Linked DNA regions of Drosophila melanogaster. Changing the gene in region 1 together with any one later gene gives a genetic interaction. Each region holds a gene or a part of one and is shown in the gene's direction. Other genes may lie near its edges.

Evidence for each region.
Region 2: of SCAR (region 1) and Abp1, changing one suppresses a phenotype caused by changing the other (phenotypic suppression), as found in Drosophila melanogaster (one study listed by BioGRID).
Region 3: of SCAR (region 1) and Hem, changing one suppresses a phenotype caused by changing the other (phenotypic suppression), as found in Drosophila melanogaster (2 studies listed by BioGRID).
Region 4: of SCAR (region 1) and crb, changing one suppresses a phenotype caused by changing the other (phenotypic suppression), as found in Drosophila melanogaster (one study listed by BioGRID).

What each region holds. Positions count from the first base shown.
Region 1 is NT_033779.5:10,972,677-10,982,771, forward strand, and holds SCAR (SCAR), read left to right. Parts: upstream 1-4,095; 5' UTR 4,096-4,394; intron 4,395-5,221; 5' UTR 5,222-5,285; coding exon 5,286-6,030; intron 6,031-6,203; coding exon 6,204-6,305; intron 6,306-6,956; coding exon 6,957-7,037; intron 7,038-7,768; coding exon 7,769-8,436; intron 8,437-8,502; coding exon 8,503-8,752; intron 8,753-8,810; coding exon 8,811-8,989; coding exon of another isoform or gene 8,990-9,046; 3' UTR 9,047-9,719; downstream 9,720-10,095. Other genes in the region: CG16743 (uncharacterized protein), read left to right, coding at 1-554; abo (abnormal oocyte), read right to left, coding at 860-1,534, 1,592-2,536; ATPsynG (ATP synthase, subunit G), read right to left, coding at 3,226-3,485, 3,575-3,614; piwi (P-element induced wimpy testis), read right to left, coding at 9,982-10,095.
Region 2 is NT_037436.4:13,482,003-13,489,147, reverse strand, and holds Abp1 (actin binding protein 1), read left to right. Parts: upstream 1-2,867; 5' UTR 2,868-3,290; coding exon 3,291-3,545; intron 3,546-3,607; coding exon 3,608-4,059; intron 4,060-4,120; coding exon 4,121-4,297; intron 4,298-4,359; coding exon 4,360-4,838; intron 4,839-4,901; coding exon 4,902-5,134; 3' UTR 5,135-5,615; downstream 5,616-7,145. Other genes in the region: stv (starvin), read right to left, coding at 6,395-6,713, 6,779-7,145.
Region 3 is NT_037436.4:22,282,450-22,290,686, reverse strand, and holds Hem (HEM-protein), read left to right. Parts: upstream 1-2,491; 5' UTR 2,492-2,699; coding exon 2,700-3,879; intron 3,880-3,944; coding exon 3,945-6,145; 3' UTR 6,146-6,333; downstream 6,334-8,237. Other genes in the region: IleRS (Isoleucyl-tRNA synthetase), read right to left, coding at 1-374, 432-1,683, 1,748-1,890; Srpk79D (Serine-arginine protein kinase at 79D), read right to left, coding at 7,587-7,783, 7,855-8,125. UniProt on the Drosophila melanogaster protein: Plays a role during growth of the oocyte.
Region 4 is NT_033777.3:24,292,014-24,299,196, forward strand, and holds the start of crb (crumbs), read left to right. Parts: upstream 1-3,064; 5' UTR 3,065-3,613; coding exon 3,614-3,851; intron 3,852-7,183. Other genes in the region: Uck (Uridine-cytidine kinase), read left to right, coding at 825-956, 1,116-1,231; CG5715 (uncharacterized protein), read right to left, coding at 1,414-1,908, 1,965-2,357.

The sequences.
Region 1 (10,095 bases):
TCCTTCTGGTACTGCTACTTCAGTACGAAGTGGTTAGGACGGACAGCGATAGCAGCGACAGCAGCAGCAGCAGCAGTGGAGAGAAGAAGCACAAGCACTCCAAGACGGAGCACAAGTACAATTATCCTGCATATCCTAATCCGGGCTATCCTCCGTATCAAGAAATGGGAGGCTATCCTTCATATCTCTACAATCCGTACATGCCGTATCCTCCGTATCCTCAAATGGGAGGCTATCCTTCATATCCCTACAATCTGTACATGCCCCCACCACCACCACCACCGCCACACCCGCAACAAGCTCCGCCACCATCAATGTATCCACCCGACCCGTCCGGATATCCAGGCGGCTATCCACCGCAGGGGGCTCCCGGACAGAATCCAGTTAACAACCCAAATGCGATCCCCAATCAGCCTCAGGCACAGCAGCCTGCCAGCGGCCCGGGATCAGGGCCTGCCCCGAACTATCCTCCAGGCGGCTCGAGCGTTATTAATCATTCCCTTAAGGTCAACAAGGAATACAACGAGGACGGTCACCACCAATCTTCAACGTAGTCGCAGTCGAGATACAATGTTACATGAAACTTTAAACGTCGGATTGGGCCTCAAGTTTCAAGTCGGCCTTCAATACAATGTAGCAAAGTCGAATTAAAGATTTAAACAGTACTTGGAATTTTCACAATTTTCACAGTCTTTGATTAAATAAAAGAAAGAAATGTTCTCTTACCATTGTAAATAAAGACATTACTGAAAAGGTAAAACGAGATATTTTAGTATCACATATATTTCATAATATAAAAGGTACTTGAATATGTTTTATACACAAATGTACAAAATCATGTATGTACATATTAGGCAGTCTACTTTTCCACTATTGTGCTGTGGTTATACAAGTGCACGTGGTAGACGTAGCTGTTCATGCATTTCTGGATACTGAGCACTAGTGGGTCAAAGGGATGCCAAATAAAGGCGCACAATTCCCGTGGCGCCAAAGGATTTAAATGCCGGCGGGCCGTAGCGTGCAGTCTAAACTTGATTGAATCCGTGGCACGGTCAAGAAACACAATAGGATCGTTGCAGCAGCGATGGGGTTGCTCCAGAGGAGACACGTACCGACTGTCGTATCTAAATTCGTTGAACTTTAGATAGGGCGACGAGGAAAGGCTCTGGGAGCTGAGTGGAACGCTGGGGTTGAAGCGCAAGGCCGTATGTCGATCGACGGAGACCGATTCATTGGAATCCGCAAAGGTATGCCTTAGGAAAAAATGCATGGGCAATGAAGGTGCATCACCGAATTGCAGCGATCGATCATTGCTCATGTAGTCATTGAATTGCAGTAAGATTTGCAGCAGGTTGACGGAATATTCCGGATAAACGCCAACCACTTCTTCGCCAGTTATGGTGTAGAATACATACAAGCGGCGCGGTGATGTAGCCATGGGCATGGTATCGGTACCATTTGGCCGCTCTTCATAGCGCAACATTAGAAGTTCATTGTTCACCAGATGCATTCTCTCCATGATCATGTGTTCTATCTAAATGAGATATGTAAGGATGTGAAGACCGTTGTCACTCTTTATAATGTTACTTACATACTCAAAGTTTTTATAAAACGACTTCTGACTTTCCGTCGGGTTGCCACTTTTATCATTAATTTTACGGTACAGAAAGCTAAGGACGCGCTGTTTAATGTGCGTTATGGGCAAAACTGTGGTGGCGTCAAGATTGTCAAAGTCTGTGGTAGCCTTCTCGATAAAGTCCCTCGGCCTGGGACCAATAGTCTCCTGCTGGTGGAACTTACCGTCATTCACCCAATAGACGTAAACGCACTGATGCAGCCGGGACATCATCATCACTGTTGAGCCAAACACGGAAATTCCATGATTGTGGGCAATGACGATGGAGTCGTTAGGCAGGATAAGTCTATCTGTGACGACGCCTAGCTTCAAATCCACCAGAAAGAACACATACGAGAAGGCGTCCACTTTGTCGAACAGATCTGGGTACCGTACGTAGTCATCGACCGGCAGTGCGCCGCGCACAACGGTCATGGCAGCCAGCATGGCATAACGACCCTCTTCCAGGAACACACTGAACTCCCGGTGCAGATAGTAGAGGCCAAAGTCGCCTTGGCATAGATTCAGCGTCTCTTTTGTGGGAAACAGGCGTTCAAAGATCCTGCTCTTGAGTATGGTGTCCTGGCTACTGAAGCACTCGCCACTGCCTACATCCGCCTGGCGAATCAGTTCACCCACCGCCGCACAACTAGAACCCCCGTAGCTGTATATGAGCAGACTGCGCTGATCCTGCGAGAAGGCCAACAGTTTTCTGCCATCCGGCGTAAACTTGCGCAGGTAGATCGGCGGAATGGTAATCGAGTCAATTGTCAGGCAAGGCGTGATGCACTTGTAGAAGAGACGCTCGTAGGCCAACAGCGGCATCCTGCCCGGCTGTTGGCCCACGTTGGTGTATCCGGACTCGCGGTTCTGCAGCAGATGCACGAGGTTCTGCGATTGTAGGCGCTTCTTGTAGGCCATTCTGACAGATCCTGGGAAAGTTCTGCCAAGTTCCTATTCCTAATGTCAGCCGGGTTCTTCTTCCGATCGGAAGGTAACTAAAGTAAAGTGTGACCGCAGTTAGATTACAAAAATTTACTCTGTCTACAAAAGTTTTGTTGTTAAAAAATATAAGTATAATAATAATAATATTAATGCTTTTCAAGATTCAAATAAAAAACGTTATTTATAAATAAAATAATTCAATACATCTTACTTTACTTTGTTTAAAAAAATGTGTAAATGAATTATCTATGAAAAGCAAATTTAGATTTATTTATTTTTTTTTTTAAATAAAATTATTCTTGAGTGCTTTTAAATGCTCTAAGTATATTATGTATTTCTGAACCATTAGCCTCTTTGATTACGACACCGTTTCATAAACATTTGATGTATAACATTACATATATTTTTTTAATTTTTATCATTAAATATCGTCAACTTTTAATTCCAAACTTGGTTTTACATCACCTCATCTTTAGCTTACACAAATCCCGCGCAAACGTTCTAACGGTTTTCAAAAAACAATGTATTTTTCGAAAATTTTCGGAATTTTAAATTACTATTTCACTTTATTCAGAGTCGAAATGTTCGCAGACATATAAATATACACATCTGTTAGGGATTACGTTGCCCATTCCAGTGACTGCCAAGCGGAGACTATAGTAAGCTTAGACATTGTAGCCTACAATGTGACGCTTGCCGATGCACTCGCCGATGTAGAACCAGAAGATGACCTCGGCGGTCACCAGGGTGTTAAGCCAGGCCTCGCGAACCGTGAGGTTCTTGTAGGCGCCGGTCTTGGCTCCCTTGATGATGTTGCCCAGTCCTTGGCGAATGGCCGGAATATCGGCGGGCGTCGGGGGCGTCAGTTCCACCTTGGCGTACTTCAGGAACACGTCCAGTTGGGGCCTCGCCTGTGTGAGGAGCCCTGCAAAAAGTGATCATTACATAATTTTGCGATTGACAGGCGCCAATGGTGGTGTATCCATTCGATTGCATTCGATTCACGACACTCACTGTTCACAAGTCCTGATCCCTTGGTAGCCAAACTCGCCATCTTTTCAATTTGGTTCTGCAAGCAGTTGGAATTATACAAGAGGAAATCAACGAAATGTGCGGAAAACTTACCTATTCAGTGTGCGACGAAACAGAGATGTTATGCATTGGGGCCAGGGCTGGAGCACTAGTTATCGATCGGCGGATAAATACCAAAAATACCAAATATACATTTCTAAAGTTAATGGAAGAAACTGCAAACAGTAATTTTAAATAACGTTAATAAAATAGCTTATTATGGATAATATAGAGTTAAAATAAAATAAAATAAATTGAATATATATTTATATTTAAAATATTTCATTCTATACAGTAAATAAACAATATGAAATGAGTTACTGAAAATTCCCTTGCAAAATTTATTTAAATATAGTAATTAAAATACATATTACATTTAATATAAAAATAACTTTTTCCCCACCGCATCGTGCAGTATATTTGTCTGATTTTCCGAAATGATGAATCCCTGCAGTATTTTCGAACCACAAAGCTTCGGTCACACTGCAAAGGTGTGGAAATCTTAGTTTCCACAAAACGAGCAAATATTTGCAGTTTTCAAGCCCCAAATTGGCTAATTAGAGTTCGCATCGGATCGAATTTGCCACCGAACCCCCGAAACGGAAGTGGCTGCTTAATGTTTGTTGTGGTGCCAGCCGCCAAACGAAAAGTGTGACGGGCGGTGAGTGTACGATATGCTGTAAAGTGAGGTGGACTGTGTAAAACTAAGCTGCGCCGTTCAAAACCAAAATCAAAATCGCAGCAGCCACTACGATTAGAAAGTGTGAGAGATACCTTTGTGTGTGCATTGTTGCGATTTAGTGCGAATGTTTCAGTGCGAAAATCTGAAAGAGTCAGCCGTTCCGTCCCACACATATGTATGTACATTTACTTGGGTGCTGCTGCTGCTGCGGTTCATGCGTGTGTGTGAGTGCGTGACGGTCTAATTTGCGTTGGTGGGAGGCCGCCGACGATATACGTATATGCACGTATGGAATAGGTGCCCACGTAAAGGCCCCAGGTCGTAGCACCCAGAAACTGCCACCGAAAAGGGGGGCATTATCGACTAATCTCGCCGGGACTGCAAGGTGCATCTTGCGGGGGTGACTTGGGCGTTACGCCCTTATCACCTCGCTGTGGGTATCGTTTCGTGGGGTGTGGTCCAGACGTCGAGTTCGTCAGTCGCGCATATCACAAAACAATTCAAATGGCATTTTGGTGATTGTAATGAACACGTCTCATGGATACATGGATAAGCGTCTCGTGAAATCTTCTGCAATACCATTCTGAGTCTTGTTCATAGACGGTTTAGTATAGTGATGACAAAATTTCTTTTAAACCAATTTTGATAGTATCCAATTAACTTTTTAAACGTCTACTTTTACGGGAAAATTTATAAACAAAGTTAAACGACAATTTGGGAAGTACAATTTTATCGGAATGAAATGTCTTCAATTGATAATCAGCATAAAAAGAAATCTTTTTATTATTGATCCCAATTTGGCATGAGATTATGTAGTAAATCAGTAAATAAAGGGTTTTATATTTAATTAATTTTAAATGCATTAATTCGTATTAAAACAATTTATTACTTATTAATGCCGTTTTCAGTCGATGAGGACGCACTAATTTACGGGTTTGCCAATTTGGAGATAATTGTCAATCGCGCCCGACCATGCCGCTGCCCAAACGATCCATAGAACCCGTGCATGTGGCCCGCTCCGTGTATCAGCAGGATGAGCTGCAATCCGTGGAGCTGGAGACGGTCACCAACACCACGCTGACGAACATCATTCGCCAGCTGTCCTCGCTGTCCAAGCACGCAGAGGATGTGTTCGGTGAACTGGCCCGCGACGTGGGCAACATCGGGGATCGAGCTAACTCCCTGCAGGCGCGCATCGATCGCCTAGCTATCAAAGTTACCCAGCTGGACAGCACAGTTGAGGAGGTGCCCTTGACGGACATTACCCGAAAGAAGGCCTTCAAGTCGGCCAAGGTTTTTGATCAACAGATCTTCTCGCGCGCCACCATGCCGGCACCAATGATGGACACATATGCCCAGTGCGACAAACCGCCGCCCCTCGACAAGCTTAATGTCTATCGAGACGATGGCAAGGATGGTCTTAAGTTCTACACGGATCCGAACTACTTCTTTGAGTTGTGGCGACAGGAGATGCTGAAGGATACCGAACGTGTGATGCACGACAAGGGCAAGAAGCTGAACAGACCGCGGCAGGATGGCGGTGCCGGCGGAGCTGCTGGACGTGGCAATAAGAAACAGAAGACCAAAATAAGGGTGCCGCACAATACGCGCGAACAGCAGCGACAACGTGCACTGGTGCACGGCGAAACATTGATGCCCAACAACGTCATCTACCGCACACCGAATTCCATGGTCAACGAAGAAGCCGGATACGGAAGTAAGTACTTGGCGAAAGGGATTGGTCTCCGTGTGAGCCAAGTATTCAGTGCGAACCAAATTCATAGGCTGTTATTGGTACGTTCGTTTCGCGCACTGACTATTTGCACTTGTCTTGCCTATTGAATGGTACATCTATTTTAATTATCAATTATGTCCTGTCTGCCCGTGTAGTTCAGCTAGTCAAAATACAGACTGTGGGCGAGGCTGACATCGATTTGCGGCATAGCACTCTCGATGCGCACCACCAAGTTGTCGGTAATATCCAAGACGTAGGTACGATGATGGGGCCACGTAGCTTTCATTTCCGCCCGGCAGACATCCCACGATACAGATGTACCCGCCATTCATTCACCTACTTCACTCAAAAGCTCGCTAGTTTTCGATGCGCCTCAAAACCCAGTTCGAAGATCACTAATTTGTATTATTTTGAAGTTGCTATTAATTGAAATTAACCCACACAATCATGACCCAGAGAAAGGTGACCGAAACAAAGTTTCCAGAGCTTAAAAAATAAATGAAATGGTACTTAACATAAATTCCATCTAAAGTTTGATTAAAATCTCAGATACAGGATATATTCGATCTAATTCATTATTATTACACCATTAGCAAAATGGTCTATGGCCAGTCTAGTTCATCCTCCTGTAAGTTAGCAAGACTTTCGAACTTGATTTGTCTCTAATTTGAATTCACTGACTTTGTTCCAATGAAGTTCGTCTTGTTGATGGTAAATACAATACGGTCAGAGAACCTTACAATTTCATTCTCCGAATGGTCGATTATTTTTCGCAGCTTTTATTTATTTGCATGTTGTTTTTATGAACTACTCTTTCGTTGTTTTCGGTTATGATATTAATGAACGTGAACATAAATATGCATTGCAATTACGAATGGATCAATCGCGCATAACCATCTCATTTACAGATACAGTAAAGCCTTATAATATGCTTTCGCATTTGGAGAATAACAGTAATGTCACCAAGCAAACCGCCGTTGCGATTGCAGGTTAGACATCCACATCCACTTTTAGCAAGCTCAGTAAAGACTATATATGTTCTTTCACTCGCTTCTATCCCCATATTACCTTACTAGCAATCCTTTTTGAGTTCCTTTAGCATTTGTGTGTACAGAGAACACTCTCTTTTTCAAACTATCAATCGGAATGGCGATGATTTATGAGTTTCATTGGTCATGCAAAGTGCAGATTTATTATCTCAAAACACTGTAAACTAGTCACCTTCTAACTTGCAATTTTAATGTAATGTGTGTGCACATTATATTTACAATGCATCTTGCATTTTGCATAATACTTTAATTCATTTCATACTCGCGATTCGTGATTGAGCCGCAGTTTTTGTTTAGGATCCTCCTATCTTTCTGTTGTAGTTCAGTCAATTTCCATATCTACGTCTACATGTCACTCTGCAGCTTTACTAATTCCTTTCTGTCGCCACATCTTATTCTACGAAAGTATCTCTAAATTGTTTTCTGTGCAACGAGCTAACAAAGACTTTTAATCGGATGTTTGTATATTCAACAAAATTTCTATTCGAGTCCAGCGGTCTCATATGCACAGAAATTTGGAATTGCTTGTAATTACATATGTGTCTTATTGTTCCTCGGCTGTAATTACAAAATAATTGGCGTGTTTTTAAATGAGATGTGTGTCCTGTAAAAACGTTCATTTTAATGGGTGGTTAGTCAACGGCTCTAATATCTCACATTCATTATTCTAGATATGGGAGTGTACGATACACGTCCGCCACGTCCTAACTCGATCGAATTGAACCGAAGCTATCAGTCGGAGCAGATCGATGGTAGCACCTACGAGCAGCTTCCACCGCAGATGGGTAATCAGTATGCTGCCACCTTCGGCAACGGCATGGGTGGCCCCCAGCAGATGCACATGCAGCATCAGCAGATGTATGACGCCGGAATGTATCAGTCGCATGCGCTGTACGGCCAAACTGGACAGGGAGTGATGTCGCCGGAGCCCATCTACGGACCGGGAACACCGTCGCGTAACAAACCGCGTCCGTCGCAGCCGCCACCGGCTCCGCCATCGAATGGCAGCGGTGGTGGTACGCCCACAGCCTCCAATGCCAACACTCCGACAAGGGGCAGAAGTATGTCGACCAGTCGGGATGCCTTGCCACCGCCTCCACCAGTTCCAGACGTCATTTCACCAATGTCTGGCATGAACGGAGTCAACAGCGGGCATATGGCGGCCAAACTGCTTGGCCGGGCGAACAGTTCGTCGGGAGCTGGATCTCCCAACAGCGTCCAGAATGCCAATGATATGGTCATGACGCAACTGAGCAATACTTTCCACAGCATCGGTATGACGGGCAATCAACTGAACTCCCTTAGCGACTTGCCGCCACCGCCGCCGGTTCCAGATCAGGTTTGTTGTTCACTGATGGGTGTTAATATATCACAATTTGGTTTAATTTGTGGCAAAACCTTACAGCACTCGCCTAAGATGTCGCCACCTAATGCCGCGCCACCACCGCCGCCGCCACCGCCTCCAGTCGAGGAAGGCATGGGCAGTGGCAACCAACACACGCTGCGCCCGCATCAAATTCTTCCCAAATCACTGGCCAATGGCGAAATGCAGCAGCCCGGCCAACAAAATGGTGTGCCTCACATTGTCGCACCCAAGAAGATGCTGCCTCCATTCCATGACCCACGCAACGACTTGATGAAGGCCATTCGAGATGGTAAGTAATTGCCATTCAAGGTTCGAATGCAAAAATATCATCAAATTAATCTTTCCAGGTATTACTCTACGTAAAGTTGAAAAGTCAGAGCAAAAGGAAATTGAACGAAACGCGGCGCCATTGGATGTGGCTTCAATCTTGGCCAGACGTGTGGCTATCGAATTATCCGAGTCCGAGGATTCGGATAGCGAAGACGACAGCGAGGGCTGGATGGAACCGAACGAAACATCGGCTTGATCCCTGATTAACTCGTTAAAGCCTGACATAATTCTAAAAAACAAAAAGAAGAAGTAATTCCAAAGAGAATTAATCCATACGATGGTCGAAACCAAGCGTGGTATGAAATTGGATTACACAAAAGCACCAAAGCTTTTCTACCACCCTTTATACAATATACACCTAATCCTAAATAATATGTCTAAAATCAAAAGTTTCATTGAATTGTATATACACCAACGAGTAATTATCGTTAAATTAATCGCTATAGTGAACGAACGCATTTGCATTTTAAGCCTAGACGACAATCCAAGGAAAGCGATTTAAAAGACTTGCTAATTTTGTTCGCTTCTTTGGAGTCAAGGTCTGAGTAGATATGGGCTTCTGTATCATAGTAGTCGGTGTTTGGATATTAAATTATAAATAATCGATATTATCACTGAACTCAATCCTACCCCAACTTGCAATCGATACGATTAATATAAAACATTTATCCAAAATGAAAATTTAGAATTTTGTAAATACAAACACATTAAAATATATCGAACTCCGTAGCATTTCAGTATACTCAACAAGCTATGAAATTGTATTATCCTTGTGAAAGTTAAATACCTGTATAATTAATAAAATATGTTTCACGAATATAAGCAGCCATGAATGTGTGGTTAAGTAAGCAAACATGGATGTATGTAATTTTTCTTTACATAAACTAAAATATACAATAAAAAATAAAGTAATTATATTCCAAATTAATGAACATGTCTTGATAGATAACTTTAAATGTTTGTTTGGGAATTTCCTCTGGTCTTATGCTTAAATACCAGAATCTTAATCCTCAATTTTGCTTTTGTTTGAAAAAAGAGCAGTAATGCATTTCAAATACAAAATATTTAGTCATAAATGCTGAAGTGCTTAGCAAAAGTAAGAAAGTATTGAAAAAGTATAAATGTCTGGGCTAGTTTCATATATGGCCTCTTAGTAAGGATTAATACTCCATTCTAAATTATATCCAATTATAGATAATAAAACTTCTTTTCGAGCGCGTTTTGCGGAATAGAGTGCAAGTTCGTACCCACGAGGGTAGCTAGCTTCTTAGCGTACTGGCAAACTGCTGGCACTCGTGTGGT
Region 2 (7,145 bases), on another chromosome or scaffold:
CCTTTTTGTTTAACAATTATACACATATTTGCGATCCAGCGCACTGAATACCATACCACAACTATATGCCACTCACTCTCTGCCGGCCATTTCTTTGGCATGTCACGCGGTTTGCCGCTCTGGGTGGTGTGCCATGGTGTGTCGCATGGTGGGCAGAGAATGCAAATTGCAAATATACATATAAAAGATATGTCGCCAGTACAGAAATATGCACTACGGACGAACAAATGAACGAACGAATGCCCCATCCACAGCCACATCAAGTCGACAATTCGTGCTCGTCAGCCGCAGTGGCACTACGAAAACGACTGGCTGACTGGCTGGCTGGCTGGCTATTATTGATAAGGGGTCCCCGGGTCCGGTGGCCGACGATACTTCACATATGCCAACCGCTCGACTGCCGCTCTCTGCCATCGAAAATGCGGCATTTGACACATTTATGAAAATCGGAATCGGAATGCGCCGCAAACTCATTTTGTTGGAATGTTTTGTTGTCGTTTTTTTGTACGAAAATAAAACATTTCTCGGATTCGTCGAGTGTTTATGCGTTCGCACAGTGTTCGCGGCCAGGAATCCGCTTGCGTCCATTGTCGCACTCATCGATGTCGCCGGGTGGGTAGAATTTCGGAAGAAACTGTCTGACTGGGGGATCGCGGTTACAAAGAGGAAGATGTCAGCCGGAAAGGGGGCACTGTTGCAATCGTGAATCATGACTGGAGCACGCAGAAGGGTCTGCGACTGGATACACTGAGAGGAGTTAGAGCCCAATAGCAAATCTGAATTCAAAGATTAAATGTAATATGGCAAAATGTGATAACAAACAGCACCTCTGATTGGTAGCATACGAAGTATGTGAATAATAATCAGATTACATTTGGGAATTCATTAACTAGGCATGAAATCGTTTGCAAAACGTTTTGTTACATTTTGTTTCTTTATATAATGTGACTTTGATAGTCTAGAATATAATGATGTTTTTATGTAAGCAAAAATCTTGACATCTATTAAGACTTATCAGTTTAGCAGACTTGTAGAGTTTTCCAAGTTCATTCACATTAAATCCATTCAGAAATTATTTTAAATTTGTAAAGAGCTACTACTAATTTGAATCACTGCTTTACATTCCCATGAATGTTTTAGACGCAAGATGTTCATATTACTGGGCATTTCTTTCTGTGTCTGACACATTGTTGAAATACTTTCCGAGTCTTCTTGGCTCAAAGGTGAAAGCCATAAAAGAGCTGTGTATAACCCCCACCCCCACTGCCCCGTTTGGGTTGAGTACATCAGGGCATGTTGTTGGCCAAGTTGAAATCATAAAAATTGTCGACTCTTTTTAAACGGAATTGGTTAATGGCTCCAGTTGGTGTTTTTTTGTTGGTCTGTAAGTCTGGGTCGGATCGGTTTGTTCACTTACCGCTGGGATTGTTTTGCACCATGGTCGCCGCTCTAGAGAGTACATCCAGCGCCGTTTCCATGATGATCTCAACGCTTCTACGTGGGATTGGACGTGGATTTGGAGTTGGACTTGGACTTGGTTTCGCTGCTCCTGCACCGACTCGATCTGCACCGCATGAGTTTCACACTGAAAATGCAAAGAAATTGACCATGAACAGCCGCACCACACACACTTAAGCCGCACACACATCTCTCTCGTATGTGTGCCTTACAATATATACACCGAGATATCCAAGTGAAAAACTGGATATATCGCCCGAGCCTGGCATTGGCATATATGTAAATGGAACAAAACCAAAACCAAAGCCAAAACCAAACCAAAGCGAACAAAGACTGACTGCCTGACTGGCTGACTTGAAACAAGTAAGACGAAGGCGAAATCCTGCTGCCAAACAGTTGCCATCTGATCGGAAAGCTGTGGAAGTGGATGCTGATGAGGGGACATGCACGGTGGCGGGGCGGTGAGGGGCCACGATGCACTTGGGACTGGTTTTTTTCGGAGGCCCCAAGACCAAGAGTTCGGGGGCTGCTCCGTTGAATATTTCGGCAATGACCAAAGTACAGCAGCCAGAGCCATATTGTTGCTAGCCAGTCAGCCAACCATACAGCCAGCCAGCATCCGACGTCTAGTTTCCACATTAATATACGTAAATATCAGGCCACAACAGTGGAGCCACTTTACCTTTCGCCAGGTGTGCGCCTTCAAATCCTCGCTGGAATCCTGCTCCTCAGCTGTACGGCGATTTATCCTCGCTAATTTTCACCGACTTTTCACGATTTGCGCTGGGAAAAGCGGGGGTTCGATGATTTTTGGTATAATTGCAATAATAGTTCAGTTCGCGTTAGAGCTGGAAGATACGTCGATGTAACATCGATGGCCAAAGTCATCAGTCTGTATTCACATCGATATTTGCTCAGCCTTACCAACACTAATATTGTTCAGCGGTGACTTAAGCCCACATATAACATTAGCGTTGACTCGAACCATTTTTAGAAAACTTAATGTACAAACAATGTAAACATACCTAACAACCTAAAACATATTATTTGTCAATAGTATTTGCAAAGTATATTATAAGCAAATATAAAGGTTATGATATGAATAAACACCATATACCAGTTTTTTCCATTGGATAGAGATACAAAAAAGTTGAATAAAATATAAAAACGAAAAATGTTCGTATGTGTGATTATTAAAAAAGAAGATAATGCTTATATATATAGTTGAAACTTTACGACTAACACCTATAAGAAAAACGATAAAGTAAATCAAAGCCTATTAGACGAGGTACACGTTACTAGATACGTTCTAAAACCTCTGTTATTTAATTTCAATTTTACAAGTAAAAACCATCGATAGCGGCACAGTGGCAACATTGAAAGTATCGATTAGACATCGCCTGTTGTCCCAGCTCTAGTTTGTTGTTGCAAAAAAAGTGTGTGGGTCGCCGCCAGCGATCGAATATTTTAAAATTCCAATCAAATTGGTTAATTGGGGAGTTGCAATTGCTTGAGCGTTAAGTTAAACCTATTTCTGCACGCATAACTCGAAGGATTAAGGTGGAAAAGTGGAATTTGGAAAGCCGCTGGAAATTCGCACATACTGGAAAATCAATCACCCACTATCCCATTGTTCTGCTTGTGTTTGTGTACGTCTGTGTGCCTTTGTGAGGCGGCTGCACTTAATTAAAATTTAAGACAAGACAACCCAAGCAAATTTGGAGTCTTCGCGAGGCGTTGGCTTTCACTTGACGAAGAGGGCACCCCGATAAGGCGACCCAGTGAAAGCTGGCCAAGATCTCGCTGCTCAAGGTCGTTGTCAGTCTGGAATTATGGCCGTCAGCTTCGAGAAGAATCGGGCGCAAATAGTGGCCGCCTGGAAGGATGTGCTGGACGATAAGAGCGACACGAACTGGTCCCTCTTTGGCTACGAGGGTCAGACCAACGAGCTGAAGGTGGTGGCCACCGGCGATGGCGGCGTGGATGAGCTAAACGAAGACCTAAATAGCGGCAAGATTATGTACGCCTTCGTCCGAATCGAAGACCCCAAAACGGGCCTCAACAAGTACTTGCTCATCAACTGGCAGGTGAGTCCGACGGCGCCCTTATCTAATCGAGCTACGCATAATCTGACTGTGCTCCCATTCAGGGCGAGGGCGCACCTGTTCTACGCAAGGGTACCTGCGCCAACCACATACGTGATGTGAGTAATTTGCTGTCCGGCGCTCACCTTACCATCAATGCCCGGAACGAGGACGATATTGACTTGGATCGGCTTCTCAAGAAGCTGAGCACCGTGAGCTCAGCCTACAGCTTTAAGGAACCTCGAGGCGCCATGGAGGAGCAGAAGGCGCCGGTGGGAACCAACTATACTCGGGTCATTCCCACCAAGGAGTTAAACGCCAGCGTTATGCAGGACTTCTGGAAAAAGGAGGAGGCCGAGGAGAAATTGCGACAGGAGGCAGAGAAGGAATCCAAGCGGCTTGAGCTTCAAAAGTTGGAGCAGGAGCAACGTAGTCGCGAGGAGAAGGAGCACAAGGAGCGGGAGAAGTTGGTCATAAGCACCACCAAGCTCCAGCCGGCCCACGTACCCATCAAAACGTAAACAAAAACATCGGAATTTGACCTTCTCGGTAGTAAAAATTCTTTTTTTATCAAACAGGTCACCGCAACCTTTGAGCCCTGAGAAAACTGCACCAGGATTTGCCAACAATCTGACCGATGCGGAGCGCATGCGTCAGGCGAGGAACCAGGAGGCCCGCGAATTGATTGGCTCTCGTGTGGGTGCTGCCAAGGCCATGTTTACAAAGCACACGAGCGAGGGACAACTTCAGTCTAAGTGCGTCCTTGCCCCTCTCCTATTTTGTTGTATCAGAAATAAACTGCTCTTTTGATTCATAGACTAAATACGCAACCGCCGGCCAAACCAGCTCGCAACTCGATTGCCCAGCGCATCAACGTTTTCAACCAAAACCAGCCTCAAGATGCACCTGTGCCTTCACCACCACGCGCTGCGTCCCCTGCCAAACCGTTGCCTGTAGAGGCTCCCGAACCAGTAGTCCCCGCTCCAGCTATAGCTCCTGCTGCTCCCGTGGCTGCCGAGGTTGTTTCCACAATAGCGGAGGTGGAGGAGTCGCAACCGGTAGACGATTTGCCACTGGCCCATGAGAGCGAACAGTTCTCGACTATCAAGCGATCACCCCATAGTAAATCGAACTCGCTGCAGTCTCAGTCGCCCGACGAGACCACCTCTTCCAATGAAACAGACACCGCTGTTTCCCAGGAACAGGAAGAGGAGGTCCGCACCAAGGTGTCAGTCACCGTGCAGCAGTCGCAATCGGTCAAGTCGAGCGGCATGAGCACACTCGAAAGGAATGCATGTACGTAAACCATAGCTATGACCCGTTGTTCGTTCTATATTTAAACACGAGTGTTTTTTGTAGTAACGGATTTGGTAAACGAGGACGATTTTATCTGCCAGGAGACCTTAGGCGATCTGGGACAACGGGCACGAGCTCTATACGATTACCAGGCAGCCGACGAGACAGAGATCACTTTCGATCCAGGCGATGTCATTACGCATATCGATCAAATCGACGAGGGATGGTGGCAGGGACTGGGCCCTGATGGAACCTATGGACTGTTTCCGGCAAACTATGTCGAGATCATCAACTAGGGAAACCCAAGTGCCAAGCAGCTGGGACGCCCTTTTGCTAAATATCTACACCAATGCAGCTAGCAACTATATTTTGGATCCGGACTATAGCTACTTAAACACTTTACCCCATAATCTTGAACAATAATGCGATACACCTAGAAGAGATTCAACGATGACTAAATGCGACTATAAGATTTTTATCGTACATCACGCGTCTGTTTTTTATCTACATACATATTATTATATAACGTATAATCCATGCCACATATGCAACCCTATCATACGTTGTTCCCATTTGTATACATATTATATCATTGTTTGGCCTCGATTGCCGAAGCCGTGTTGCGTCCTTTTAAAATGTTCTTAGGATACATACAAAGTAACCACTTAGTCAGTATTTAAGGCCCGCTCCATTCCCGATCCAGGGTTCTTTTGTATATGTATTATTGATCGAGATTTATAACCTTTTCGATAATAAACTTTGATAATTGTGCAACCGAAGGATAACACAGTTTTATGGTCAACAATATCTACATTTATTTTCGCATTAATTAGTAGCATAAATAGTTATCATAGTTTTTTTTTTTTTTCTATAAGAGTTTACGTTCGTTTAACAATTCACCTGCAGCAAAGCCGTGAGTGGTGCACTCGGCGTGATTGGATGGATGAGTTGGCCTGTGGCAAGCAAGCGCGTCTGCTGTAGATTTGTATGAGATCATACGGCGGCTTGCTGCCCCTGTTGCTGCTCATCGGTACAATTTACGTATAAAAACTGGACTCAGGTTCAAAAATATCCTCATGGTGATCATCTATCGCTTAAACATAATCAGCTCTTTTAAGTGAAGCAACCCTTGTTGCCAAATCGTTTTCGCTCTGTTAACTTCCGAATTCTATGCAGGCACATTTTCTCAATATTAATTCTCTTACTAGCCTATAATCTACGCTGTGTGGTGTGTGTGTGTGTGTGTGTGTGTTATGATGTGTGGGGATGAGTGGGTGTTGAGTGGTTGACACGTGAGATTTGCATATGTTTAGATAGTACGGTTGTGCTTCTACGAAATACTAGCAAAGATTCGTCGCCAGCTCCTCCTATTCACATTCACATTACACATCAAATTCACTTTCACATTTACTTTGAATTCAGTAAAATCAAGTCTGTCGCTGTCCGTTGATGAGTCGGGATCGGAACTCTTCTCTATCCTCCGCCTGTTGTCACTTAAATTTGGTTAATTTGCGTAGCTGCTTCGAAACGGTCGCCTTGTAGAGGCGCTGTGTTCATCATTCCGACGTCGTTGTGGTTGTCTCCGACTGAACGGCGGACTGTGTCGCCTCCGCGGCGGTGGCTTCCGAAGCAGCTGCGCCCTCGACGGCAGCAGCATTTGGTGGTGCTGGTAGAGGGATGGGTTCCTGCATCTTTGTAGCATCCTGTGGCTGTGGAGTCACTGGCTCCGCATTTTGTCCGGCCGCTTCCGAGGCAGCAACTGCACCTGTGTCAACCGCTGGAGCTGTTGCGCTAGGTGCAGGTGCTGCTCCTGATGCCGCTCTGGCATTCTCCTCGGCCTTGGCCTCCAGCACATTTATCGAAGCCTGAATGCATCTGCAAGGAACAATCATTGAATTAATTAAATTCGATAATGAGCTCTGGTGACTCTGGTCACTTACTTGATAGCCTCCTTTCGGGCCAGACGAATGCTGTCCTTGCCGTTTGTGTCGATGGTGTCTAGCTTAAGCAGGTTGCGGGTCAGCATCTCGTCCAGGTAGGCGTACTCCTTCTCCTCGCGCGTTCCCTTGAACTGCTCCACCTTGCCCATGAGCTCCAGTACGTCGCGCTGAATGTCCTGGATTTTGTTAATAGAGTTGAGGGTATGTGGTGTCTGTGGCGGCAATCCAGCGGCTCCCTCAACTGGCACCTGCTGCTCAGGTTGCGCCTGGGTGTTTAGTGGCGTCGGTCTGTTGTGCTGCTGTGGAGCAGCGTGTGCCTGTGGCTGCGCCTGCGCATATGCCTGTGCCTGAGCTTGGGCCTGAGCAC
Region 3 (8,237 bases), on another chromosome or scaffold:
TTAAATAGCGCCGTCGAAATCACAAGGAGTGTGTAAAACCAGCCTCGGGTCTGATCGATACCCTCTGCTATAAAGTCAGCCGGGAAATTGTTCATAAAGTCCTTTTCGTTTTCAAAAGGGAAATGCTGTTGTGCGAACGGCATTGAACCTGATTCAAACCAACAGTCAAAAACAGGAGCTATGCGACGCAGTGGTGGATTTCCAGGAACTGCCGATGGTATTTCAATGTGGTCGATACTTTCTCTATGAAGATCCTCGACTTGAACGCCGGAAAGCTCGGCTAACTGCTTGATACTGCCGATAACGACGGTCTCATCACCGCTAGGCGACCTCCAGATAGGAATCGGCGTGCCCCAGTAGCGATTGCGGGAGATCTAGATATATAATTTGATTTAAAAACATAACAAAAAAGTTTCCTTTACAAAACTTACAGCCCAATCTCTGGCCTCTTTCAGCCAGTTTCCAAAACGTTTCTCCTTGACGAAGTCCGGCACCCAGTACGTTTGGGAACTGCAATCAAGCAGGTTTTTAGACATGTGCTCGACGCGCACAAACCAGGAAGGAACCGCCTTATAGATAAGAGGCGTGTCTGACCGCCAGCAGAATGGGTAGCTATGCTTCACCTGGCCACTGGAAACCAAGTTTCCTCGTGCCTTCAGCGCGGCCATTATTTGCTTATCAGAATCTTTGACGTATTGGCCCTCGAAATCGCTTGCCTCGTTAGTAAACCGTCCTGCCTCGTCCACTGGGCAGAGAACCTCACTGGACTTTGTGATGAGGCCCGCAGCGAGGCACACACGATAATCGTCTTCTCCGAAGTAGGGAGCATTGTGCACAATACCCGTACCGGAATCCTCAGTCACGTACTCGTCGACCAGGACACGATAAGCTTTCACCTCAGCTCCTCGCTTCGCAAAGTAAGGGAAAAGCGGCTTGTAGTGAAGGTCCTTAAGGGTTTTGCCAACAAACTTTTCCTTCACTTCGTACTCCGTCTCCGATTTGTACACGTAAGAGAGACGAGACTCTGCGAGAACAAAAAGTCGGTCGCTCTTTACGTCGCGCACTTTTACATAGGTCATCGTCGGATGAACACAGCATGCGAAGTTTGAGGGCAGTGTCCATGGCGTGGTGGTCCACACTAGGAAGAAGGTATTGGGCAACGAAACGGCCTCCAGTGCAACTACTACGCAAGGGTCCACAACCTCCTTGTAGTTTTGGTTGGCCTCGAAGTTCGAAAGGGACGTTGTGCAGGCGGTGGAATAGGGCATCACCTTAACGCCCTGGTAGACCAGACCCTTGTCGAACAGTTGCTTGAAGATCCACCAAATGGACTCCATGTACCATGGGTACAACGTCTTGTAATCGTTCTTGAAGTCAATCCAGCGACCCACGCGCGTCACCACATTCTCCCACTCATCTGCGTAACGCATGACAATCTTCCGGCACTCGGCATTGTAGGCTGCGATTCCCATCTTGGCCACGTCCTCAGGACCCTTGATATTCAGCAGCTTGTCAATCTCGAACTCCACGGGCAGTCCGTGGCAATCCCAGCCGAAGCGACGGTCCACATGGTATCCCTGCTGGTATGCGTACCGTGTGACGATGTCCTTGATGGTGCCAGCAAGAATGTGTCCGTAGTGGGGCAGCCCGGTTGCAAAGGGCGGTCCATCGTAGAACGTGTATCTTGGAGGTGGAAAATTAGCACAAAATTTGGCGATCGGCTGATGCAATCGTATGCGGCACTTACTTGGGCTTTCCCTTCGACAGCTGGCTGCACTTTTCAAAGATATTTTCGTGTCGCCATTTCTGCAGTACGTTCTCCTCCTCGGCCGGGAAATTAATGTTCTCTGGCACCCGACACACGTCGTTCCGCTCTAGTTTTTTTCCCATGGCTGTCAAAGTTCACTGTTGTATTATTTATCAAGTAACAGAGCTTATTCGCCCACCTTTTATATCAGAAATTCAACTGACTTGCGGCGTTTTTGCGTGGCACACAACGTGCCCGAGGTACGGAACTAGTGGTTCATTAATCGCTCTCTAGCTCATGGGTTCGCGATATCGATAGTAGGTTCCGATGAGCGGCATCCTTGATAATCAGCTGACGACAGCACTGAAAAAAAAAGAAAGGCTTATTTACTATTAACAACTTTAATAAATTTGTTAGCCATAAGAATAAAAAACTGAACTGTAAGTTACTAAGTAAGAAAGCCATTGGCAATTGAATGAATAAACTATGCAATAGTTTTGAAAGCAATTATTCCTGACTTAGACAAATAATTCTAATAAATTAAAACCCCAAATACCAGCTATTATTAATTTGTAGTATAACCAAATTACTGTAATATATAATTATAAAAAAATTATCTTAAATTATATTAAGCCATATGTTTTTTTTCTCAGCAGTATATTTTCTTTTTAACAATCAATAGTTTAGCATATATATGGTAGCTATCGTTATCGATAGCAATATATCTTTGCTATCAGCCCATTGGTCATCACTAACGCGAAAACAAGAGGAAGAGTAATGTGTACACTTTTGTGTCGCTCCTTTTCGGCCAATTTAACAAACGAAAAAGTATAAGTACTGGGCAAATCAGCACTTGCACGCCTCCCAATACGTCTCGCCAGCGCACACCTGTGTTCTGGGCTCCACCGGAAACTCGCCTTCAGCCATTCGACGTCGCCAACAGTCATCGGATATGGCACGCCCAATTTTTCCGAACCAGCAGAAGATAGCTGAGAAACTAATCATCTTGAATGACCGCGGCCTGGGCATTCTTACGCGGATATACAACATCAAGAAAGCATGCGGCGACACCAAGTCGAAGCCAGGCTTCCTCTCCGAGAAGTCGTTGGAATCGAGCATCAAGTTTATCGTGAAGCGGTTCCCCAACATCGACGTCAAAGGGCTCAATGCTATTGTAAACATCAAAGCGGAGATTATTAAGTCGCTGTCCCTGTATTACCACACATTCGTGGACCTACTTGATTTCAAGGACAATGTATGCGAACTGCTCACCACGATGGACGCCTGCCAGATTCACCTGGACATCACATTGAACTTCGAGCTGACCAAATATTATCTGGACTTGGTTGTGACCTACGTGTCCTTGATGATTGTTTTGTCTAGGGTCGAGGACCGCAAGGCAGTTCTGGGCTTGTACAATGCCGCCTACGAGCTGCAAAACAATCAGGCGGACACGGGCTTCCCCCGCTTGGGGCAGATGATTCTGGACTACGAGGTCCCCTTAAAAAAGTTGGCCGAGGAATTCATTCCCCACCAGCGCCTGCTAACCAGTGCGTTGCGGTCGCTGACCTCCATCTATGCACTGCGAAACCTGCCAGCAGACAAGTGGAGGGAAATGCAAAAGTTGAGTCTGGTAGGCAATCCGGCCATTCTTCTTAAGGCCGTCCGCACTGACACCATGTCCTGCGAGTACATATCCCTGGAGGCAATGGACCGCTGGATAATCTTTGGCTTGCTGCTGAACCATCAAATGCTCGGACAGTACCCGGAAGTCAACAAAATCTGGCTCTCCGCCCTGGAGTCAAGCTGGGTTGTGGCCTTGTTCCGCGACGAGGTCCTGCAAATTCATCAATACATTCAGGCTACTTTCGACGGAATTAAAGGTTACAGCAAGCGGATCGGAGAAGTAAAGGAAGCCTACAACACGGCGGTTCAAAAAGCTGCTTTAATGCATCGGGAGCGGCGCAAGTTTCTTCGAACAGCCTTGAAGGAGCTAGCTCTTATTATGACCGACCAACCAGGCCTCCTGGGACCTAAGGCAATATTCATTTTCATCGGTCTTTGTCTTGCGCGCGATGAGATTCTATGGCTCCTCAGGCATAATGACAACCCACCTCTTCTCAAAAATAAAGGTTAGTTAAGGATTTTCTTACGATTAAATTAAAATTTGTGAACCTTAACTATTTTAAATTTATAGGAAAGAGCAATGAAGATCTTGTAGACCGACAGCTGCCGGAGCTCTTATTCCACATGGAGGAACTCCGCGCTCTTGTGCGTAAATACAGCCAGGTAATGCAGCGATATTACGTGCAATACTTGTCCGGATTCGATGCCACGGATCTTAATATTCGAATGCAAAGTCTGCAAATGTGTCCAGAAGACGAAAGCATAATCTTCAGTTCGCTCTACAACACGGCTGCAGCCCTGACAGTTAAGCAGGTGGAAGACAACGAACTCTTTTATTTCCGACCATTCCGCCTGGACTGGTTCCGCCTCCAAACGTACATGAGTGTGGGAAAGGCTGCACTTAGGATCGCAGAGCATGCAGAGCTGGCCCGCCTACTGGATTCAATGGTTTTCCACACTAGGGTGGTAGATAACTTGGACGAAATACTAGTAGAAACCTCGGATCTCAGTATCTTCTGTTTCTATAACAAAATGTTTGACGACCAATTCCACATGTGCTTGGAGTTTCCCGCGCAGAACCGCTACATCATAGCGTTTCCCTTAATCTGCAGCCACTTCCAAAATTGTACGCACGAAATGTGCCCGGAGGAGCGACACCATATACGTGAAAGGTCTCTCAGCGTGGTAAATATATTTCTTGAGGAAATGGCTAAGGAGGCTAAAAACATTATAACCACAATTTGCGATGAGCAGTGCACAATGGCAGACGCTCTATTGCCAAAACACTGTGCTAAGATTCTTTCCGTACAATCTGCTCGTAAGAAGAAGGACAAATCGAAGTCTAAGCATTTTGACGACATACGAAAGCCGGGAGACGAGTCGTACCGAAAGACACGAGAGGATCTGACGACGATGGACAAGTTGCACATGGCCCTGACGGAGCTTTGTTTTGCAATCAATTATTGCCCCACGGTCAACGTTTGGGAGTTTGCTTTTGCCCCTCGCGAGTATCTCTGTCAGAACCTGGAACACCGCTTTTCCCGGGATCTTGTTGGCATGGTGATGTTCAACCAGGAGACAATGGAGATAGCCAAGCCCTCGGAGCTGCTGGCCAGCGTTCGAGCCTACATGAACGTGCTGCAGACAGTAGAGAACTACGTGCACATAGACATAACACGAGTTTTCAACAACTGCCTGTTGCAGCAAACACAGGCTTTAGACTCTCATGGCGAGAAAACCATTGCCGCTTTGTACAACACCTGGTACAGTGAGGTTCTGCTAAGGCGTGTCTCCGCTGGCAACATTGTGTTCTCCATTAACCAAAAGGCTTTTGTTCCCATTTCGCCCGAGGGCTGGGTACCATTTAACCCGCAGGAATTCTCTGATCTCAACGAGCTGCGAGCACTTGCAGAACTTGTGGGACCTTACGGTATCAAAACATTGAACGAAACACTTATGTGGCACATAGCAAACCAGGTGCAAGAGTTGAAGTCGCTGGTGAGCACCAACAAGGAAGTGCTCATTACACTGCGAACCAGTTTTGACAAACCTGAAGTGATGAAGGAGCAATTTAAGCGCTTACAGGACGTGGACCGCGTGCTGCAACGCATGACGATCATTGGTGTGATCATATGTTTCCGCAACCTGGTGCATGAAGCCCTCGTTGATGTGCTGGACAAGCGCATACCCTTCCTGCTTAGCTCAGTGAAGGACTTTCAGGAACATTTGCCCGGAGGCGACCAAATTAGGGTTGCTTCCGAGATGGCCTCAGCAGCGGGTCTGCTATGCAAGGTAGACCCCACATTAGCAACTACACTGAAATCAAAAAAGCCAGAATTCGATGAGGGTGAGCACCTCACTGCCTGTCTACTGATGGTCTTTGTGGCAGTGTCTATACCAAAACTGGCCCGTAACGAAAATTCCTTCTACAGAGCCACAATTGATGGCCACTCAAATAACACGCACTGCATGGCGGCGGCCATTAATAACATCTTCGGAGCCCTGTTTACCATCTGCGGTCAAAGTGACATGGAGGACCGCATGAAAGAGTTCCTTGCTCTGGCCAGTTCTTCCCTACTGCGCTTGGGCCAGGAGTCCGACAAAGAGGCGACACGGAACCGAGAGTCCATCTATTTGCTGCTGGACGAAATCGTCAAACAATCGCCCTTCCTCACAATGGATCTGCTTGAGTCCTGCTTTCCCTACGTGCTTATACGCAACGCGTACCATGGCGTATACAAGCAGGAACAGATCTTAGGGCTGGCACTCTAAATGGAGCCGATCTGTGTATTCCACATAATGCTTATGTAGTTTATCCGCCGATCGACTATCGATCACTATGCTAATCTAACATACTTTAAAACTGTTAAACATACCCAAATGTATTCTAGACTCTGCATTTTTATACTCGTACGACTTCGAATAAAGTGCTTATACAACCCAAATAAGTATCCCACATTAATAAGCTGTCTCTAGATCGGATCGGTATGTATATTCTTTATTTCGGCTTATTGAAATATGTGTCCACTCCCGCGAACGTGCAGCTCCTCCGCTTCAATTTCTGTTAAATTTCATTTGGACACATGCGCACACGTGTGTGTATATTAAATATGAGTTTGGGGGAAAAATCTTCCGCAATATTAAATTATTTGGTCACGTTCAATGTTACTTTGTAGGCTTGTGTACAAATACTTGTAGGCAAGTAGTAAAATATGTTTTCGTTATTTTGTAATATGATTTCTCAGTAGTTATCATTGGTAGTATTTAAATTTCGATTTTGAGTTTTCAATTCCGATACAAAGACTTTTATGCAATGATTTATTATTGTTTTTAATTCTTTTTGAATTACATGATCTGGGATAGGTTCTTTTTCACGGATGGTTAAATGATAAGTTTTGCAAACCGAAATCGGGTAAGTAGGGCATCTTTTCAAATCTGCTCGTAATCAACATAGGCCTAAACATCTACAAATGGGTTCGGTTAAATGTACCAAAATCACTACACTCTGCTAAAAAGCTGTCAATATTTGAGTTTACATCTGTATTTGTGAACATTCTCGATATCTACAATGGGGTTTCGTTAATTATACACATACTTGCTTATTAATATTATAGAAGGTATTGTTATTTATGTGATGCTGAATATTTTGCTAGTTCGTACAATCTATTTAGCATTTCTCACTGATTTGGTTTTACTTGGTTTCGCATGAAAATGTATTCCTTTTCAGTCAGTCAGTTTAGGCATCTGTTGACTAAAAATTGTCGTCATTGTCTTTTGTTTTTGTTTCTCAGTTAATAAAAAATATATGTGTATATGTATGTATATACTTATATGCACGTCGTCGAAATAAAACTTGAAAAACATTTGCGCTACTTCTCTCGTTTGCTTTTGTCGTTAAAAGTAAAATCGCTTCTTTAGTAATTACATTTTAAAGCTCTCAAGTACAAAAATTAAAAAGCTTAAAAAATTCGACGCGGAACGCCCCCACATCGTCCGCATTTCGTAAGTGTAAAATGTGTGTGCTTCGATCGAGTCCTTTAATGCTAGCTCCTCATCCCATTTTCCTGCTACCTCCTCTTTATGGCAAATTGTTTGCATATAAAAGTTAAGCCTAGAAATACAATACGAGTACGAAATACGTATGTTATGTATGCAATATTTTACTGTGCCTATGCCTGTGTCTCTCTGGCTGTCTAGTCACTCCATGAGCCTCTTAGACGAACTCCTCCTGCTCCAACCACGGATGCTGCAGGCACTCCGCTGCCGACGCCCGTATAACCGGATTGTACTCAAGCATGGGCAGCAGAAAGTCGGAGAACTTCTTGGCCTCCACCGGGTCCCAGTCGTACTTCTCCACCAGCACGTTCATTAGACTCCAGGGCTTCAGCTTGGTGATGTTCCTCAGGCTACCTGCAAATGGGAATCAACAGGGGTCACACATCACACACCATTCCTTGAGCTAAATTCGATTTGATACCTACCATAGCTGGTGAAGTACTTCAGCCCGTGCTTACCGCGGAAGATCACCGACTGCGGTATGGAGCCCAGCAGCTCCACAATATGCGCCAAGTGGTCCTCGTCCCGACTGTAAGACTCTCCGGCGTGAGGGTCGAACAGGTAGTCGCCGGTGGCCAGCTCGAAGGCCAAACAGGCTGTGCTCCAGATGTCGGCGGTATAATTGTACGGCGCTCCCAAAAGAACCTCGATTGATCGATACTGGCGAGTCTGAATGTCCTCAGTAAAGTGATGGTACTGAGAATTCATAGAAAGCCGAAAACGGACTTATTACTTTTGAAAACCATGTGCGGGGTCGTGTTTCCGACCTTAAAAGGTATATATTCTCGGTCAGGATTACTAGAAGAGT
Region 4 (7,183 bases), on another chromosome or scaffold:
CTCGCGAGGACTTAAGCACTCTATCCACCAAACCACACATGTTACACTTCTAACTATTGTATCTATGTTTAATGGTGCCCGATACTTTGAAAACTACTCCTATCCATCTCTGGTTTGTGAATGTTATTATAAGCAATAGCTTTATTACGTTTTATAAGCAACATTTTCTTGAATATTTCGTATAAACTCCTGACTAGAATACGTTAATTACTTTGCTATTAAATCCCTTTGCTAACTTAAACATATTGGAGTTATATTTATCTCATTCCTTAAACTCACAACTTTTGGTCACATACATTTTAGATGTTTCTATGAATTCTTCTTAAGCAATATTTATATCCTTATAAAAAGTAAGGGCTAATATAAATTAGATATCATTAGTACCGGGCATCTTTGAAGTCGGAACCTGCGACTATAGTGTTATCAAAACGCGCCCCTTTTAAACACCTTTATGCAGTCTCAAATATATACAAATGCAAGGCAGTGATTAGCCTATCAAGGCGTGAAGATAAATCGGTGTTTCATTTAGTAAGTACACAACCAGTTTATTGTAAAGCACACTAACTTCAGTCACAAAACACAGTAGCTTAACAATAACCAGAACATGCCGCCCAGCTTAGATGCGTTTAGGTAATAGATCCCACTAACTAGAGCTAGAATAAGTCCTGGGCTTAGACTAGACCGCTTGGATCGGCGGAGCTCGGGAGGAGCAGCGAGGTAAGTGCATTGTTCCACATTGAGTTGCAATGCTTACGATGGTGCAGCATTACGATTTGATATTTCCAAACTGAGTGCGAACTAATTGTCCGCTCTTTTCCTTTCAGTGGCCATCGATTTGATCGTTCAGCATATCCGGGACTTCTTAAACAATCGATCTCGGCACGGATCAACCGGAAACATGGCTCTCTACATGAATCTGGATTTGAATGCGACGGGTGCCGGTTTCGCGGGCCCAGGTAAGGCCACCATCCAAAAGGCGCGTCCCCACTAACCATCCGCTGACTGGAGTGAATGATCCGGATTACTAACCAATCAACCAACCAATGCATGCAATCGGACACTTGCTGTGCTGTATATATAGTATCTTCTGTTATGCTTTGTGTTTCCCTGTGAAGATGGAAGTAACCTCGGCACGTACAACGCCATCCGAAGATTCTCGACGATCTGCAAGGAGCTCAACATGCAGGGCAACTATTTCTTTGAGACAAATAAGAACCTGCCGTACCACTAGGATGGGATGGCGTGAGAGTTCCCGGAGCAGTACAAGACACGACGCACATAGGCGATTGTTAATTATCTAACCAAATATTGTACCCATAGACATATTTTTTCAGTAAACACAATTGATTGTTGATGATAAATATTTATGTTTGTCAAAATACTGTTACCGAATGCTTCGACTGCAGTTGTCATCTACACCTTGCACTTGTACATTGCGTTGATCTTGCGCACATCTCCGGCTGAGAAGCCCTTGCGTTGACCCATCTGGCTGGCATCGGATGTGGCACGCAGTGCCTTCAACGTGGGCTGGCCATTCCGAGTGAAACTGGTGGGGGAGTAGTGCATCACACTGCCATAGTCGTATTCCACGCCGAAGCCGTACTGTGTCCTGGAACTGGACTTCTCGAAGTTGACCATCATCTCGGGCTTGATGTTGTCCTTCATCACGCGCACATAGGAGTCACGTTCGTGACGATTCTGCTCATGGAAGAAGCCCAGGGCGTGCATCAGCTCGTGAATGGGAGTGCCGTATGTACGCAAGCAGTTGGGCGACTGCAGATTCACTTCCTGGCGACCACCTAAGCGCCCAATGCTACTCCAGCAGCCAGACTTTCCGCTACCAATGGAGATGTAATCCTTTTCGGTGGTCCTGGGCTTGAAGCGCACGCATGTTTTGGTGTGGTATTCCTAAGATACAAAATCTTATTTGTAAATTGTAATAGGGACTATTACTGAAACCTCACCTTAAAAGCGTGGTTAATATTCCCCAATTCCTGGCTGGTAAAAGGACCTTTGATCTCGTAGGGCACAACGCCGCCCGGCCAGCGGGAACTCAGCGCCAAAATGCCATTACGAGTGCCATTGAATCGGGCGTCCCTGTAGCTCAGTGGAATCAGGATGTCACCTTCGTGGTAGGTTCCCAGCTCCTCGGGATTCAGCGGGGATTCCACACCGAGTGCCTCAACCAAAGCTCCAGTCGTCTCCACGTCCGGATTACCGAACAGAGTATCTCCAAGATCTGTCAAGTCAATCATTTCCTGGGAGTCCATATCCTCCAGGGGCATGGAATCTCCCAGAGAAATGCCCAGTATAATCAGTAGCAAAAGCGAACCAGTATTATTTTGCGATTTGCCCATTTTGCTAATTCCCCAACTGCTGTGATTTCTAACCAGGCTTACCCACATTATATAGTCCCACCTAGACCTCCAAAAATTGACGACATGTTGTCGGTGCTGCCTGTTTATGCTGAGTTCTCTTTGAAACGATAAGTCGGCGCTTTGTGGCCGTTTACATTTACATTAAGTACGTAGTTGCTATCCGCCGGCTTCTTGATTTATGGGGAATTTACTTTTATGCATTCCGACTTGAAAATATGTGCAGTGCGGAATTTTCGCAAGTTAAGATTTGCGGTATTATAAAAGGTTTATTCTATTTGGATTATGATGATGTAGGTCACAACTTACAAAACCCATAACTGCCGTTGGTAATTTAAGTGAAGTTTACGTTTTCATGTTCCCGCCATAAATTAAACTTTACTATGCTCGTGTATTTTGGAATGTCACCTAGACATACACACGATATTAATTGATATATTGAATAGTTATATCAGTAAAGTTTTATGAAAATGTAATTAACGGTTTAATTCTTGTGCGAAATCAATTCAAGAACAAAATATTTTTTTTGTACATATTGTACCACTGTGCAACTTGAATATCAGTGTGGCCATGCATGTTGACTCTATATCAAAATCCAGCCAAACCTAGCCAAGCGGACTGGTCACACTGCACCATATATAAGCCCACGAAACGGATATCGCCGATTCAAACGGTCGAACATTTTTCTTGCTGCTCGTACGTACGTTTTATTGGTTGCTCGCGCTCGTAACGTTTTTTTCGCCCCGTTTTGGCCAATGTGTGTGCGCGCGCGTGTGTGTGTGCTGCTTGCAGTTCAAAAGGGCAGCGACAACAACAAGAACAGCGCACCTCTCTTTTAAGCCAAGTCTTCGGCGCTCGTATGTGTGTGTGTGTGTTGGTGTGATTCAGAATCGTGGCCTGGGAAGAAATGGCAAATTAGTTGGCTCAAAGTGGAATCTCTGTGCTCAATATTCAAATTCAGGCTAGAAAGTGTCGCGTGCGAAAGTTTGCAAATAATACAACTAGCAGAAAAAGAGGAATATAACTTAAAAAAAATAAAAATAACCTGTTCTAAGCCAAGTGCCGATTGCGCGCGTGTGTGTGTGTGCGTATGAGTGTTTGCGTGGAGCAGAGAGAAGGGAGAATGCAATTACCAACAACAACAAGCTCAATGAGTATCGTTTGAATAGCAATAATATCTAGCCAAAAGCAACCCTTTCCAATACGAAAACTCGACTTGAGCCAACAAATCAGCGATCATGGCTAAAATCGCCAATGCGTCACTGTCGCAACAACAAAAACAGCGGCAAGCAGAAACAGCAACGACCACAACAACAACAGTGGCGGCATCAGTAGAAACAGCAACAACAACAGCAAGAAGTCGAGACCGCACGAAAAGCGCAGCTCAAATTACGTCGCATTTGCTCAAGCGCGCCATTTCAGTTTATTCGTCGCCTCAATGGATACCGCTCTTCATACTTATTTACTTAGCAACAGGTGAGAGAGAACCCTGAGAGGGAGCTAGCGAGTGAGTGAGAGGGAGGGCGATAGGCAGTCGAGGACATTCAGGAGGAGAGAGCGAAGATGGGGACATGAGAGAGCAACACGGTGTTTACGCGGTTCTTAAGCTACAGTGATCACTCCACAGCACTGAACTTGCCCGTTATAAATTATTAAAATGTATATTAGATGCCCATTTTAAATGGAATTTGTAATGTTGTTATTGTGTTTAAGCCTTTGGCTGCTCATATGATTAATGAGTTAATGAGATTGAGTTACGGAAGTCACACTGTAAATAATTTATATGATGAGCCACATGCATTCTTTAGCTTAAACATTTGCTGATGTTTCAAAAGCTCGTAATCGAAAAAAAAGAGCAACAGGTCATGTGTGTGTGTGGTGGGGCATTCGTGTGTTTTGGGGATGTTGACCAAGTCATGTTGGGTAAAAGGAATTTGGATTTTCAATGATTTCGGGCCTACGAAAAACTCGTTCAACGGGTTTTCCTTCAAGAAGTGACTCATGGAGCTGGCTTACCTGAAGTTTGATTGTGTTAATTATACACTCATTTCTAATTTTTGATGATTGTGTGCTCGGTCTTATCTTGCAAACAAAAGGAATGCTTAGAAATGTATTAGCTTCGATTGCGTATAAATTTATATTTAGTAGAGTACAACTTTAGTCGCTGAGAGAGATAATTAATCAAATTATAGCTTCAAAGGCGGTTAATGTTAGCAATCTTGGCCAAGAAGAATTAATTACTGAAACCAGAAGAGATATTTTAACGTGACCCGCATTTTTTACACACTGTAGCTTACAAATGGATATCATATTTTTAGGTAAATAACAGGGAATCGTAACAAATTATTGTTTCTGCATTTGTTGATACTGGTGCGATTTTTTGGTAATAAAACCTCATTTGTCTGCATTTTCAAAGCGCTTTTAGCGATATCACAACAGTGAAATCTGTGAAACTTATCGCATAACGATCATAATAATTGATTCACAACTCTTGCTGACTCATTATGTGTAATTTTCTGTTACATGTTGTCCGCGGCTCAATTGTTTGGCTGGCTTAGCATTGTCTGCCCCCTTTTTCCAACGGATTGTGCAAAAACGACCTCAAAAATTGGGTCTATTTATTTACAATTCGAGTACCAACCCTCCAAACGGCCAGCCATCCGGCTGTTGTTACGCGCAATCTTATCTTTTGGCCGGAAAGTGAAGTACAACAGTTGCAAAAGCGCGGCCAACTCAACGTCAGCAATACCGCAATTCCGTTGATAGGTTGATAAGAAGAACACTCAGGAGAAGGGAGCACAGATAGAGAAAGAGTTTTCCAACTCGAAGTAGGGAAAGCCCTGGAGTGCAGCGAAAACATAGTAAACCAGTTTATCAGCTCTTGAAGCTAATAGTAAACAAATTTTCAGCTTAATAATTAAAAAAAATCCAAACGAGTGAAAAGCCCTAATAAAGAGCTATAATTCATTCATTTCCATGAACACATTTTCTTTTAATTGTAAAGAACCAACCTCTCTATAGGCCCTGTATTTTCGTATACCTTTTATCGTAGAATTTATCAAATGACTTTGGTTTATGATTGACAAGGAAAACCGACGAATAAAAAGAAGAGAAAATGAATGTCTGGGCTGGGAAATCCCTGAAAGGCATCACAGCAACTGGTTTATGGCAGCTTCCATCGTAAAATCCAGACACCGACAGCGAAGATCATCAGCGTCATCTTCACTTCGAGAGTGGTTTCTGTACGGCTTTCGTTTGAATTTCCGCCCTAAACAGATATAATCCATCATTTTCAGGGGAAAAATCGCGGCACAGGTATACTAGGCACGCTGGAAAAGTGGAGGGAAAACACAAATGAACCGAAACTACCTGCATTGCGTTAACGATAACAACACGTGACCCCGCGAGTTTATGGAAATTCTCTGGCACGTACATAAATGAAAATCGAGAATGGAATGGAAATTGTACGCTGGACACACCCGCGTTCTCCGCTCTCCGGTGTCCGGTGTTTCAACCTGGTCAAGTGTTAAAGTGCAATCGGCCGTGACGCGGGTCGTGGGCCATGTTCCGTGGGCCTACGCAGCCGGCCGCGACCATTGCCTGACGTTGGCCATTAGTGCAAGTCGTTAGCCAGGTCTATAAAAATAGCCAGAGTATAACTGAAAAAGAACTGATTTGCCCCAGTCCTTTAAAGGTTAGGGCGTACTTTACTACCCAGTACTTAGTGGGGAGTGGGGAATTGTGGCGGAAGTGGAATTGAATGCAATACTGAGAATGCAGGGCGCACATTTCAGGACCAATTTTGGTTATAGCCGAAATAATTGGGATGTGGACTCTTGGTATGATTTTGGACTAAGCATAGAAAGTTGTAATTAGGTAACTTTAAGTCGAGACAACTGCTTAGTTCTGTCTAGTTTCTCCTTGCAATGTTCCACGTTTTCTGCGACTGCATCGATTAGCCAGCCACCTTGGGAAATTACCGATGCACAAAAACCACAAATGTGAGAAACAATATGACATAGTGGGGAAAATATTATACTAAACTGAAAAGACAGTGGCAGCTTTCGCTTTTACACGATATTAATTCCAAAAATTTATTCGATGCAAACAAATGTTTAAAAGTTGTGGGCGTTGTTCAATGCTGTCCGTTGGATTGTCTTTATCGCGGTGATCACGTAGTGCCGTTTTATCTGTCGCTATTTGCATACGCAGCGTACTGCCAGCAACAACAAATTCCATTGTTAGCATTGAGTCACACCAACAACGATACCGTGGGCCACAACGCACCAAAATCGAACACAAATTGTTTGGTAATTGAGGTGGGAAATTGGGGAACATACTCTAAGGTTCTGAAGGCAATTAACGGGCTCAGCATGCGTGGTTTTATTATTTATTTCAGACCATATTAATAGCATGTTGTAGTGCTAAACACACAAACTAAAGCTTATATATGAGGTAGCAGCCATTTAATAAATAATAAAATATTTATGGAATTATTACTTCTATAAGTTCATTCTACTCACATCATATGCCCTGTGGAAAGTGTAAAGTCACTTCCTGATATGATTTTGTACATTTTTTCCATAATTACTCACAGCCCTTAATTTATTTTGAAAACCTTACCGCGGTGCAACGCCCACGTACTGCGTTTATACTTCAAAAGTCTGTGTTTGCCCAGGTTGTGGGTTCCGAAGGTTCTAGAGGTTCATTCCGGTGGATCTGGTGGTTCTAGTGATTCTGGTGGATGAAATGGTGTTGCTCTTTGGGGACGCACCGGAAAAGATTCTCAGGTGTGTTTTCGGTTTTGT